Oryctolagus cuniculus: one gene and its partner. Each later gene encodes a partner of the first gene's protein in a complex. Links are inferred from orthologs where the notes say so. Each region holds a gene or a part of one and is shown on either strand. Other genes may lie near its edges.

Region 1 (6,765 bases):
GTCACGTAAGTGTCTCCTGTGGAAGCCTGATGAACTTGAGTTTGCCCGTGTCCCTTACTAGAAGGGGAAACCTGCTCTGCATCTAGGTAGGTCAGTGCTGTGTGCAGTGTGCGTCTCACATCTTCTTTCCCTGTTGCAGGTGCACTGTGCCAATGAGAGACAAAGAAGGAAAACAAGACTACAGGTAATTGCTGCTCGTGTCAAAATGCCGCAACATATGTGGAGTTAGGGGCGTGTTTCTCATCCGGTTAGAGATCAACTTAATGATCCTGGACAGGGGCCGCTTGCGGTGGTGCTGTTCCAGGATGGAAAGCGAAGGCTTTCTATTTTTTGTGTCCTTGAGAGAACTATTTTCTTGATAAACTGGCATCTGGGTGCCTCGTGTGGTGGCATGCAGCTGTTGGAAAACACGTGCTCACTCTTCGTGTCAAAGTTGTTAGCGTTGAGCTGAGAGAATGGCAGTTGGGGTTGGGTTGGAGGCTGCTGTACTTACAATCAATGACAGATGCACTGCTGTCTTGAAAGTAGACACGTTCTCAGAAATGCCCGTGGTAGTTCCTTTCAGACCCCAAAAGCTGCTGTTTCATTGATAAACGAAGCTTACTATGAGGGGCACAGCTACAGCCACCAGCGAGGATAGGCCTCAGATAAATCGGGCCTTTTATTTTTTCCCACTGAGTTGAGCAGTTTGCAAAGATCGAAGTTTCTTAAGCAGCACAGTTGTTGAGTAGAACCCACTTTGCCTGATGAAGTGTAGGAAGGCAGATGCGTAGCTCTTGCTGTCAGTGAGGACCAAACAGAGCACTGTGCTTTGGGAGAGAAGAGACTCATTTAAGTCCCTAGAGTGAAGTTCACCAAGAACTCCTGCCCTGCGTCTGTCAGAGTGACGACTTCCATTCCTGTGATCGGAACCCCCTTGGTTTTCACGGCTGCTCCCTCCCTGTCGCTGCTGCACTCTGAGCGTGGAGTGTGGCTTTGAACTCAGCCAGAAGCTCCAGCGCAGCCCCGCCCGTGCGTGGACGTGAGTTGCAGGACGCCTCCCTCTGGCTCCCTCTTGCCTTCAGAAGGCAGGCTGATTCATAGCAGAGACTCGGCATTGAGGTGATGGATTGCTCACACCTCTGATCTATTACCTTCCAGCTGCCATTCGTTGTGCATTATTCTGCATTTACATAAGTTCTTTGTCAAATGTGGGCAAAAAGAAAACGCTAGCGCTGGAATGGAGCAGAGGGAGGGGACATCTTTGTTTCATAGGATTATATGCGGTGGTCTAGCGGCCACGCGGCCACATTGTATAACAATTCAGTGTTTTTAAGGGCAGTTGCAGGTTGACCAAAACTCAGCGCAAAGTACAGAGCATTCTCATATGCTCCCTTCTCCGCCCCGCCCCTCCCAGGTTCTGTTATTAACGTTGTATGTTAGAGTGGTAGGTGGTTTGCTACAATGATGAACCAGCACTAGCTCCTTAACTAAAGCCCACAGTGTGCATCAGGCTCCAGTCTCTGGGATCTGACATGGCTGTGATGGCTGTAACGCCGCACCCACCGGCACGGTGCCATACCTGCCGGTTCACTGCCCTAAAAAAAAGCCCTGCGCTCCACCTGTGCACCCCTCCTCCCGCCCCACCACCTTCCACACTGAGGCAAAAGCCATTCATTTCTTGCACTTCTTCAAAAAGGAAAGTTGCCGCCCCCCCCCCCTTTTAACTTTTCTTTTACTGCGCAAGTACTGCTAAGAGCCAGTGGAAATTAAGAATGGAGGACTGGGCTCTCTTTCCAAAGTACAGCGTTCTTGTTTGGTTCTGTTGTTTCCGGTCATTGCAAATATATCCTCCACCCACAGTCGTAAACAGAAGTGTGGCTTCCGTGCCAGGTCCTGCTCGTTCCACTCATCATTATGTAAGCAGGGAGGGGGCAGTGTGGCGGCTTGGACACTTGCGTGGAGACTGTCCTGGGAGACAGAATTGATCCTGCAGGACATGAGAAAGTAACGTGGCATCTAAGCACGGAAGCATTCGGATTCCAGGTAGATTGGTTTTTCCCTCGTGAAACCAAGGACTCCAGCTTCAGGCCCCATCTCCTCTCTCGGCCCAGGTTTATGCCAGAACCCAACCTGCCTCCCCTGCTGCTCTACGACTCCACGTCTCTGCCTGCAGGCGCCGACCCCCAGCAAGTGATCGATATCGACCGGATCCGGGAGACGCTCCCCGAGCTCCCGAGCGAGACGCGGGCGCGGCTGGTTCAGCAGTACGGGATGCTGCCTGAGCACAGCTTCACTCTGCTGGTACGCACTGATGGGCTCCAACAAACCCGGCTCGGCAGACAGCGGGCCGCCGTGGCCTGGAGTGGAGTGGGCAGGGCGCCGCGGCTCTACTCCAGGTGCCTCTGGGAAGAATGGGCGTTGGAACCCTTGCTCCCTACCCCCTATGCCGGGTGTGCTCCTGGTAAAACCAGAAGAGGAAGCAGAATCTGGCATTCATGATTTCTTGGGCGTGGAAATGAACAGCCGCTCACAGCAGCTGCACAGACGCTGTGAGGCAAGGATCCCCACAGAACCTCAGTGTTGGACCACAGCAGGGGCGGGCGGGAGGCGGGGGTCTCAAAACCTGCCAGTGGTTTTGCCGCCCGTGGGAGGAAACTTTTATTCCGCACCAAGTGCTGAGAACCCTGACTGGGAGCCTCTGCCCTTGGAGGCTGGCCGAAGCGTCTGAAGGAGCTGGTAGACAACCAGACAGCGTTCAGCGCTGCTTGGGGAGTTTCCATCCGCTTCAGAGCTGCTTGGGGCTTTGCGGTTTTCTTTGTCAGGCAGCGTGGAGTGCTGCGGCGTCAGCGAGGGAAGCGTTTTGTCACAGTTGTCTTCTCCTGTCTGAGAGGGAGGAAGCGGAAAGTGCTGCTCTTCTGCCTCTCGGGGCTGCCGCACTTGCCTTCTGCAGCCGCAGGCTCTGTGGGAGCTTTTTAAATGGCCAGTAATACCTCTGTAGGAGCGCGGGAATCCAACACGAGGGGACTGCAGAAGCTTCACGGAAAATGGAATTAAGAGATGTTTATTTTGGTGCAAAAAAAAAAAAAATTGGAAATCCCTGCATAGCTTTTTCATAATACACAGTTCCCAGGAACTTTTTGAAGTCCCTGTTGTATGCATGGACTTTAAAATATTTTTTGTACCAAAATAAGCTTAACACCATTTTCCGTGGACTTTTTAACATACCCTTGTATTTTTATTTATATGCTTTAACAACGGCAGCCTAGCAGTTTCTGGTACAGAATAGGCAACCAAATGTGTATTGAATGACAGATTTTTTTAACCATTTTTGAGCTTTTTAAAAAAATTTTGATTACCCTGTAGCACTTGTCCATTTTTATGGAGTACAGAGCATTATTTCAACTTGTGCATCATAGCTGATCAAACCAGGCAACTGGGCTTTCCGCCTCCTTATCTTGCCTTTGTGTTTGGAGCCTGCCAGGTGCTCTCTTCCAGTTCTTCCCACAGAACACCAGACAGCCTTGCGCGCTGTGGGTGCCCCTGTCCCCCGCTGTGGAGCACTTGAACTTGTTACTTCTGTCTCACTGAGTTGGCACCCACTGTCCAACCTCCTCCCAGCTCTCTCCCCTACCCTGCTGCGTCCCTGGTCATCACTCTTCTAGTTCAGATGGGCTTTTTTTTTTAAGCTCCACCTCTGGAGAGGACATGCCGTACCCGTGTATCTGTGTCTTGCTTATTTCATGTTACATGATGTCCCATTGCATTCGCTTTGCTGCGGGAGTGATTACTCGTCATCCTCCATAGGCAGCTGCTCGGAGAAGTGCGTATCCAGAGAGCTCACGTGAGAACTCCGCTTTCCAGTGATGGTTAGGTGTGGCCAGGTGCTGGTGCCAGGTGCGGGCTGCTGCTGCACCTTCTCCACACCTCTGTGGCCGCAGCATCCGCGGTGCAGTCATTATCTGTCAGTGAATATCGTTGAACATCGCGAGGGCAAGGGCTGTGGCATCCTCTGTGTTCCATTCTCCCTGACGAGCACGGCAGCAGTGCTGACAGCCACGTCTTGGCTCTGCGAGTCAGTCCAGGGCACTTCTGAGCCTGAAGCTTCCTTCCAGTGAGCTGTTTTCCCCAGGCTGATATCCCAGACTGAACTGTGGTCGTACACATCTCCTCCCCACCCCACCCCCACCCCAGCCCCTGTCAAGACTGCTTGGATATCCGGCCCACTTGAGCTGATTACCAAGCCTGCAGGCAGATTATACAGGTGATGGATCCGGCTGCTCAGCCTCAAAAACCTCAGGTACCCTCTCGGTGGCATGTGGCCACCTGGACAAAGGCCAGCCCTTCGGGTGGTGTGTGATGAACAGAGTTTCTTGACTGTTTCTTTACTCCAGTCTGATTTTAGAGAAGTCACTGAATGTAACATTAAAGGTTCGCTTCACGTATCGGCCTTATCCGTAAGAGAAGTCAGAGAAGGCCAGTGCCGCGGCTCACTAGACTAATCCTCCGCCTAGCGGCGCCGGCACACCGGGTTCTAGTCCCGGTCGGGGCGCCGGATTCTGTCCCGGTTGCCCCTCTTCCAGGCCAGCTCTCTGCTATGGCCAGGGAGTGCAGTGGAGGATGGCCCAGGTGCTTGGGCCCTGCACCCCATGGGAGACCAGGAAAAGCACCTGGCTCCTGGCTCCTGCCATCGGATCAGCGTGGTGCGCTGGCTGCAGCGCGCCGGCCGCAATGGCCATTGGAGGGTGAACCAACGGCAAAGGAAGACCTTTCTCTCTGTCCCTCTCTCTCACTGTCCACTCTGCCTGTCAAAAATTTAAAAAAAAAAAAAAAAAAAGAGAAGTCAGAGAACCCTCAGACTCACCTCTTGGCACAGCCGTTTCTGCTCCAGGCTGCAGAGGGCAGCTGTGCGGGGTTGTTGCATTCCGCCTTGACGTGTGAGGGCGGACATGTTTACATTTGTGTTTGTGTCCGTCCTCATTCCTGGCTCCTTCACGGTGCCACACCGAGGTAGACCCTGTGTTAGCATTTGGTAGGGGTGGCGAACGAGTAAGTGTGTGATTTCTCAGTTAAAGGCCCTGTTCAGGGAAACCCACTTTCGTTAGCATCTTTAGTAGCAGGTAGAGACAAGAACAAAGATACTTTAAAAGGTGTGTTTTTTTTTTTTTTTTTTTTTTTTTTGGTCTTTCAAGAGTTTATGTGTAGCTCCTTCAAAAAGTTCATGGAGAAATGAAGTTAGAAGTTCTTTTGGTACAAAATAATTTTGAAATCTATGTATAGTGTTTTCATACTATGCATTTTCCCATGAGCTTTTTAAAGACCGCTTGTATGTGGAGAGGCCCCTACAGGTAACCAAGCCCCCGGCAGGTCATTCTAGAGATGCGTAGTGTACGATGGGAACCCAGAGCAGGTTGTAAGTAACTCGGTTGGGACAAAAAGGGGAAGCTTCAAGAAGGAAGCTGTTTCTTAGCTGTTTTTTTAAAGGACTTATCTTTTGATACCTCATAAACCTTATTTTTATCACTTGCAGATAATGTATTAGCTCATTAGTGCTTTGTTTTTCAAAGGGGCTAGTACTTGACATGTCCAGGATAAGAATAAGACAAGAGAGGACTGGCAAGAGAATGACTCAGACAAATTATTTTCCTGAAATGAGGCAGCCTGAGCCCTTTATGACTTTGTAATCATTGGAAGCTGAGTTACTCATAACACAACCAAAAATGATATGGTCGTGGTTTTTTCCTGCCTTCATCAGAAACACAACAGATTGCTGAGAAGGGCAGATGCACAAATCTAATGAACCATCTTTCAATTTAAAGAGTGCCCAGGAGTATTCATTAAATAAATAGCAGTGGTGGAGGTGTGCTTCACAGAGCTTCAGCTCCATGCTGCAAGCCTTAGGAAAGCTTATTAAATTAAGCATCATGCACATGCCCCCCCCCCCCACACACACACCTAACACACACATACTGAGAAGCTTCAGAATTTAACCCTAGTCTGGAATTTATCTTGGCATTTTATTGTTCAGTAGCCACTGGATTATGTATGTTTTAAATTTTTATTTATTTTTGTTTTTATTTGAAACAGAGACCGAGATGGATGGAGAGCGAGCTTCTATCCACTGGTTCACTCCCCAAATGGCTGCAACATACAGGGCTAGGGCAGGTTAAAGCCAGGATCCAGAACTCAGTCTGGGTCTCCCATCTTGGCAGCAGGGAGTCAAGCAGTTGAGCTGTCAGCTGCCGTCTCTCGGGGGCACAGTAGTAAGGAGCTGGATCAGAAGAGGAGCTGCGCTCCACTGGGGCTCAGGATCCCCGCATCCTGAGCAGCAGTGCTACTGCTGTACCACTTGCCCACCCTGAGCTATGTTTTTTTTGTTTGTTTTTTTTGTTTGTTTGTTTGTTTTTTTGACAGGCAGAGTGGACAGTGAGAGAGACAGAGAGAAAGATCTTCCTTTGCTGTTGGTCACTCCACAATGGCCGATGCGGCCAGTGTACTGTGCTGATCCGAAGCCAGGAGCCAGGTGCTTCTCCTGGTCTCCCATGGGGTGCAGGGCCCAAGGACTTGGGCCATCCTCCACTGCCTTCCCAGGCCAGAGCAGAGAGCTGGCCTGGAAGAGGGGCAACCGGGAAAGAATCCAGCACCCCAACTGGGACTAGAACCCGGGGTGCCGGCACCACAGGCGGAGGATTAGCCTGTTGAGCCGCGGCGCCGGCCAAGCTATGTGTTTTTAACATGACCATTGATATTGATAGCACTGCACACTCCAGGGTCTACTGTAATAGC
Region 2 (7,534 bases), on another chromosome or scaffold:
AATGAGTTCCTGCGAGATGCTAGAGCAAGTGAAAGATCATCTCGAAGCAGAATGGTGGGTGGTTCATCCTCTTACAAGTGAGGAAGAAAACTAACCACCACATCAAATCCAATGGTCATCTTCACAATCTCAGTGGACTCATCCAGGGTCCTCAGTTTCCTGATTGGAGGGGCTACAACTGCAAGGTGTCTGTCAAGGTCAAGAAGAGTTTTCAGGCTTTTCTTTGCTATGGCCCATGAACTCCAGTCCTTCAATAGGAATCTCCTTCTCCTTTATTGCTTTCTGGTGAGGGGAGAAAACACATTATAAGGTCTACACGATGCTCAAAGACCAAACTTTGTAAACAAGATGTGATGGTACAAAAGTATAATCAAGGGCTGGTGCTGTGGCATAGCAGGTAAAGCCACTGCCTGCAGTGCTGGCATCCCAAATAAGTGCCGGTTCGAGTCCTGGCTGCTCCACTTCTGATCCAGCTCCCTGCTAATGTGCCTGGCAAAGCAGTGGAGGATGGCCCAGATCCCTGGGACCCTGCACCCACGTGGGAGACCTGGAAGAAGCTCCTGGCTCTATCAGCTCAGCTCCAGCCACTGCAGCTGTGGGAAGTGAACCAGTGGATGGAAGACTCTCTCTGTCTCTACCTCTCTGTGTAACTGTCTTTTCAAATAAATAAAATAAATCTTAAAGTAAAATCAAACTATGCTATACAGACTCAGCCATGGGGTGGGCATTTTGCCTGGCAGCTAAGATGCCCGAGTCCCCACATCCCACACTGGGTACCTGGGTTTGATTCTCATCTCCAATTTCTAGATTCTGACTCCAGCTTCCTGCTAACGTAGATCTCAGGAGGCAACAACGATGGCTCAGGTAATTGGGCGCCTGCCACCCGGAGAAGAGAATGAGTTACCACTTCCTGGCTTTGGCTAGGTTGCAGACATTTAGGGAGTCAGCAAACAGATGGAGTGCCTCTCTCTGCCAAATAAACAGGATTCACAACCATGCTGCAGGTCATTTATTTATTTATTTATTTGAATAGCATGTGACACACAGAGATAGATCTTCCATTTGCTGGTTCCCAAATGCCTGTAACAGCTGGGGCTGGCCCAGGCTGAAGCCACGAACCAGGAGCTCCATCCAGCTCTCCCAGGTGGGTAGCAGGGACCCCAGTAACTGGCCCATCATTTGCTGCATTCCCAGCTGCATAAGCAGGACGCTGGATCTGAAGTGGGTAGCCCAGACTCAGCCAGCACTTCACCATGGGATGAAGGTGCCCCAAGCGGTGGCTTAACCTGCTGCACCACAACACCTGCCCCAAACCACACATTTATATTATTGTTTATCCAGATCACTTTTAAACAGACAGAAGTTCTATTATGAAGCAACCAAGTGTAAAACCAGAGAAATTAAAAGAGGAGTTGTGAGAAGCCATTAAAATTCAAAAATGAAACCTGAATGACAAGTCTCCCCCTTTTCTTTGTGACAGACATGGGTACAAACATGGGTGCCAGGACTTCTTGGCTGTGACCTTGAGCCGACCTCACTTTCCTCGTCAGTAACGGGTAAAGACAGCAACCATCTCACAGTCAGTGTGAAGCTGACTTCGGTTACCCTCTTGGGAAGGCCTGGCTCAGTGCTACTGTAACTCAGAGCAGTTCCACATCCACTGAGCCTGCATGAAAATTTCATAGCCGCAGCTAAGGACTGCTTGAGACAGACATAGGCCAAGAAAAGGATTTTACGCCGGCGCCGCGGCTCACTAGGCTAATCCTCCGCCTTGCGGCGCCAGCACCCCGGGGTTCTAGTCCCGGTTGGAGCGCTGGATTCTGTCCCGGTTGCTCCTCTTCCAGGCCAGCTCTCTGCTGTGGCCCGGGAGTGCAGTGGAGGATGGCCCAGGTGCTTGGGCCCTGCACCCGCATGGGAGAAGCACCTGGCTCCTGCCATCGGATCAGCGCGGTGCGCCGGGTATGCAGCGGCCACTTGGGGGGTGAACCAACGGAAAAAGGCAGACCTTTCTCTCTGTCTCTCTCTCACTAACTTTGCCTGTCCAAAATAAACAACGGAAAAAGGCAGACCTTTCTCTCTGTCTCTCTCTCACTAACTTTGCCTGTCCAAAATAAATAAATAAAAAGAAAGAAAGAAAGAAAGAAAGAAAGAAAGAAAGAAAGAAAGAAAGAAAGAAAGATTGATTTTAACAACAAAACGATGGGATCTTCCATAGTGCCTAAAAGCTGGAGAAAGACTAACCCTCTGAGCTGTCAGCCGCTCTCAGTATTGGTTGAGGGTCAGGTTTTGGCTAAGCGGCTAAGCTGCTAAGACGACCGCGTCCCATTATCTGGGTGCCCGGGTTCGTTTTGCTCCAATGCAGACCCTAGAGGCAGCGGTGATGGTTCAAGTAATTGGGTTCCTGTGTCCCAGCCGGGAGACCTGCACTGAGTTCCCAGCTCCAGCCCAACCCGTTAATTCTGAGTGTCGTTTGCCATGGACAAATTACGAACAACTCTGCCCACTGTGTAAGTTTGGAATAAGCACCAAACGAGCCAAAGGATGTCACTGTGCTCTATAAAAAGCAAAACACTGCGAAAATATGTACTTGGCCTTTCAGCGAGGCACCCAGGCGGCTTCGGTGCTGATGGGCGGGGAGAGGGCTCCTGCCGCTGCCCTCACTACGGCCCTCATCCCCGCTCTCGGTTCCAGCCACGGCAAGACGTAAGCAATGTGGCGGAGCCCACGGCAGAGAGCACGGGACGTGGGTCGGCGGCTCACCTGAACGCACTGCTGGTAACGCTTGAAGAGGTCGGTGCACGGGTCCCCAGAGCCGTCCCCCTTGAGGAACTTCTCAGCAAACCAGCGATTGAAGCACTGGTCGTACTCGCGCTTCATGTCTGTACACGCCTCCCCAACGCTGTTCATGGCGATGGCTGCGAAGGAGGCGGCAGGGGCGCACCCTGATGGCGTCACATTTAAGCGCGTCGCTCGGCCTTACGGGTGGCGCACTACGGGTGCCGGGAAGGGGAGACATGTGGGCGCGGGCAGTACGGCTGGGCCTTCGGGCTCCCCTGGGTGGGTTCCGGGCTTTCACCGCCAAGGCGGATGCTCAGGTAAAGGCCCGGGACGTCTAGGCGGGTGGCGGAGCGGGCCGCGTCCGTGTGACCCACCCTCCCCGATTCATTCCCCAGGGAAGTGGCCGGGTGACGGCCGAGGTGATCGAGCACCTGGAGCGTCTAGCGCTCGTGGACTTCGGCAGTCAGGAGGCCGTAGCGCGGCTGGAGAAAGCCATCGCCTTCGCCGACCGGCTGCGCGAGGTGGACACGGACGGCGTGGAGCCCATGGAGTCGGTCCTGGAGGACAGGTAAGCTCGCGGCTGCGGCCCCCCGGCCTGGACGGAGGCACCTCCGCAGGCCGCTGCAGGTGGCGGCTGGAGCCCCCGTTTCACAGCGACATGTGTTCATTATGCATGCTGTCACTCCCGCTTACAATCCCCGCGCCCGCCCAACGTAAGCGGGAGCAAAATCCGAACGGCCGCTCCTCGCCGTGGAGGCACCTCCCCCTGGGGTCTCACACACTGTGCTGCCACTAGGCTGGCTTCCCCGACTGCTTCCGCGACCGGCCGGGTCGGCTCTCATTTGTGCATTCTGCCTTCCGGAGTTTGCACGGCTGGCTCCTCCTTCCTTGGCTCTTTGACCTCGGCTTATCTCCTCAGAGTGGCCCCCTGGCACTCCGAATCCCCTCTCCCCTTCCAGTCACCAACTCTGTCTCGTTGGGGGTTTCCTGCGTTGATTTGTTGTCGTTATTATTACAGTGTGAGTTCACTGAGCTGCTTGCTGTCTCGAGATTTTATGCATTTTCTGATGTACTGATTCCCTAAGGAAGTATCTGTGAAAGTGCAGCAAGACGCAGGCACAAGCCCATGGCAAACCTTTCAGAACACGAAAAACAGGACCCAGAAACAACCTAAACAAATGGCAAATACACACTTCCACAATGGAATATTCAGCAGTTTAAAAATAACGAAACAACTACATGTTATTTGTGTGTATCGCGTATCAGCCTACAAATAGCATCATATACGCTGCCATGGAGAAGTCTCTGAGACATGCCTATTTTTTCTTTAAAGGCAGCATTAGAGCAGTACTCTTTGGGGCCCTTGTGGTGGTGCAGCAGGTGAAGCCGCTGCTTGTGACACTTCCAGTCCCAGCTGCCTGCTAGCGTGCATGGGAAGGCAGCAGAAGGTGGCCCAAGTACTTGAGCCCCTGCCACCCACGTAGGAGACCCAGACGGGAGTTCCAGGCTCCTGGCTGCAGCCTGGCCCAGCCCTGGCTGTTGTGGCTGTTTGAGGAGTGGACCAGAGGATGGAAGCTCTCTCTCCCTGTCTCTTTGAAATAAGTAATATCTGTCTTTGAAATAGATAATAAATCCTTTTAAAAACCCAGTACACATTGCTTCTTGGCCTTTTGGCTAAGATCAAGTGTAAAAATCAGCACTGTTCATACCATATGTGTAGTCTACATCTGCTGGTGTATAATTAAGTTGTGTTCCCCAGAAGCAAATGCAAGAAATTCACAAAATGATTAATTCATGGGAATGTTAAGGAAACTTTGTTTTTGTTGAAGATATATTTATTTACTTGAAAGAGTTACAGAGAAGCAGAGGCAGAGAGAGAGGGAGGGAGAGAGGGAGGGTTCACTCACTGCCTGGTTCACTCACTCCCTGGTTCACTCCCCAGATGGCTGCAATGGCCGGAGCTGGGCTGATCCGAAGCCAGGAGCAGGAGCCTCTTCCGGGTGCAGGGGCTCAAGCACTTGGGCTGTCTTCTACTGCTTTCCCAGGCACAATAGCAGGGAGTTGGATCGGAAGTGCAGCAGCCAGGACTCCCATATGGGATGCCAGCATTGCAGGCGGTGGCTTTACCTGCTACACCACAGCGCCGGCCCCCACACATAATGTGCCTGAGAGCAGCGGTATCAGTGAGTGAAGTAGCGCAGTGTCATGCAGTGGGGACAGGTGACTTGCTGACAAAGCAGCTGTGAACAGCAGGAGCGGTTTCCGCCCACCTCTACCAACTGCTGCCAGATCTTAATTTGAAAGGAAGCGCCTTCCTGGGGAAAGCTGCTTCCCAGCAGCACACTTGATTTGCTGTCGGGGGCTACAGCTGCTTGGACAGGAGGATGGGTGACTTGCTGTGCTCCCTCCCCCAGAGTCAGGCCGGATGTTAGTCCCCAAACACTTAACAGAACTGAGCAGAAACTTAACTCAATCATGGTGCTGGGTGGCGGGGCCCTGGGTGATTAAGTTAGATCATTAGGATGGAGCCCTGACTGGAGTCCTGGTGGCCTTGTAAAGGGTCAGACAAATCAGATCAACACAGACATAGCTGCTGAACTGGGGACCCACCTGATCCTGGACTGTGAACCTCAGGCCCATAAACCAAAATAAACTTTGTCTATAAAGCAGCCTGTCTCTGGTAATTTGTTATAAAGTCAACTACTACATAGCTCATAATCATAGGGACAGTTGACAACTATCCTAGCCTTTTCTTGGTAGAAATAATAGACAAAAGCAGTCCTAACTGCAAGTGGACGCAAGGAAGATTCGCTGCCTTTGGCTAGTGAACAGGCCCAGCCAGACGATCTGCGACTACATTCTTTGTGTGAGTCTTGCTCCTAACTGCCACGCTTTCTTCCAACCTTTCTTCTTCCTTGCAATCTGGCACTCGGGTCAGGGCAGTGAATCTGCTATTACACTGCACTTCAAAATGGAATCTGATTTTCATTCTGTGGCCTGCGTCCTGGAGGTTTCACACTGCTCCTTAGGGTGAAGACAGCATCAGTGGAGCCTGCAGGGAGTCATCAAACCTAGCCTTTCAGTTCTTCATGCGCTCTCCTTCCTAGAATTCCGGCCTGGCCTTCACTCCCACCACTCCTCTTTTTGTCTACTTCAAATTTCAAATGCCACCTCCTTAAGAAGTCTTTTTTTTTTTTTCTCAAGATTTGAACAGAGAGAGATCTTCCATCTGCTGATTCACTTCTCAAATATGGCCACAACGGCCAGGGCTGGGCCAGGTGGAAGCCAGGAGCTCCATCCTAGTCTCCCACGTGGACAGCAAGGGCCCAAGCACTTGGTTCATTTCCTGCTGCCTTCACAAGTACATTAGCAGTTAACTAGATGGGAAGGGCAGCAACCAGGACTCTACTGGGGCTCCTGATATGGGATGCCAGCATCGCAGGTGGCTTAACCTGGTGTACCACATTGCTGGCCCCTTCATTGTACTGAATTAGGTTCTTTCAGGACATGTGACTCTTCATGGTATTCAGTAAGTACAATACACCTATTCACACATCTATTTGAGTGACACCTGATTTCTCTGCTCCTCTCCTGTTCATCTGTGTTCTTGGGAGCATGTCTATTTCTGCTCATGTTTGCAATGTGTAACACCAAATAGATACTCAGTAAACATTTACTGAAAGACTGTTCTTTATTAGTATCTTTGGGAAAGGAAGGAACAGAAGCCTGAAGAGGAGTCAGAATCTTCCATCACCTAGAGGGTAACTATAAAGAATAAAATCAGGGGCCAGTGTTGTGCTTAGTGGGTTAAGCTGCCACCTGCAACATCAGCATCTCAGGTGGGTGCTGGTTCGAGTCCTAGCTGCTGCACTGCCAATCCAGCTCCTGCTAATGTGCTTGGGAGGGCAGTGGAAGATGGCCCAAGTCCTTGGGTCCCTGCACCCAGGTGGGAAACCCAGATGAAGCTCCTAGCTTCGGCTTGGCCCATACCTGAGTTTGCAGCCATTTGGGGAGTCAACCAGCAGATGGAAGACATCTCTAACTGTGCCTTTCAAATGAGTAAATTTTTAAAAATTACAGAGGGAGGGGCTGACACTGATGTAGCAGGTAAAGCCACCACCTGGAGCGCCAGCATCCTGTATGGGCACCAGTTTGAGTCTTGGCTGTTCTACTTCTGATCTAGCTCTCTGCTGTGGCCTGGGAAAGCAGTAGAAGATGGCCCAAGTGCTTAGGCCCTTGCACTCGCATGGGAGACCCAGAAACAGTTCCTGGCTCCCAAAAGACCGACCCAGTTGCAGCCATTTAGGGAGTGAACCAGTGGATAGAAGTCTCTCTCTCTCTCTCTCTGCCTCTCTGTAACTCTGCCTTTTAAATAAATGAATAATTAAAAAAAAAATACAAAGGGAATTTTGTGAAAAAGATGAGGGATCTGGATCTACTAGCTGGGATCTCAACTTGGCATTCAGTGATTTGCACCTTCTGTATATTAGAAAACCAGTTTGTGTTAGTAATTCACATTCAGTTTTTCTTTTTTTAATGCGAATTTATTTTCATCTATTTGAAAGGCAGAGATAGAGATCAATTGACCTTGCATCTGCTGGTTCACTCCCCAAATGTCCTAAAGCGCCATAGTCAAGAGCCCCGAACTCCATCCAGGTCTCCCATGTGGGTGACAGGAACCCAAGCACTTGGGCCATCATTTGCTGACTCTTGGGATGTATTAATAGTAAGCTAACGGAGCTGGCTGGTTAGCTCA

The links. The genes of interacting proteins can lie anywhere in the genome.
Region 2: GATB (region 1) and GATC share a complex: the UniProt entries of both Homo sapiens proteins name them as parts of the heterotrimeric GatCAB amidotransferase (AdT) complex. The link is inferred for Oryctolagus cuniculus from reciprocal best matches to the Homo sapiens genes GATB and GATC.

What each region holds. Positions count from the first base shown.
Region 1 is NC_091439.1:12,867,512-12,874,276, forward strand, and holds part of GATB (glutamyl-tRNA(Gln) amidotransferase subunit B, mitochondrial), read left to right. Parts: intron 1-139; coding exon 140-184; intron 185-2,093; coding exon 2,094-2,283; intron 2,284-6,765. UniProt on the Homo sapiens protein: Allows the formation of correctly charged Gln-tRNA(Gln) through the transamidation of misacylated Glu-tRNA(Gln) in the mitochondria. The reaction takes place in the presence of glutamine and ATP through an activated gamma-phospho-Glu-tRNA(Gln).
Region 2 is NC_091452.1:16,476,125-16,483,658, forward strand, and holds the start of GATC (glutamyl-tRNA(Gln) amidotransferase subunit C, mitochondrial), read left to right. Parts: upstream 1-2,975; 5' UTR 2,976-3,014; coding exon 3,015-3,095; intron 3,096-3,173; coding exon 3,174-3,346; intron 3,347-7,534. Other genes in the region: TRIAP1 (TP53-regulated inhibitor of apoptosis 1), read right to left, coding at 199-282, 2,761-2,907. UniProt on the Homo sapiens protein: Allows the formation of correctly charged Gln-tRNA(Gln) through the transamidation of misacylated Glu-tRNA(Gln) in the mitochondria. The reaction takes place in the presence of glutamine and ATP through an activated gamma-phospho-Glu-tRNA(Gln).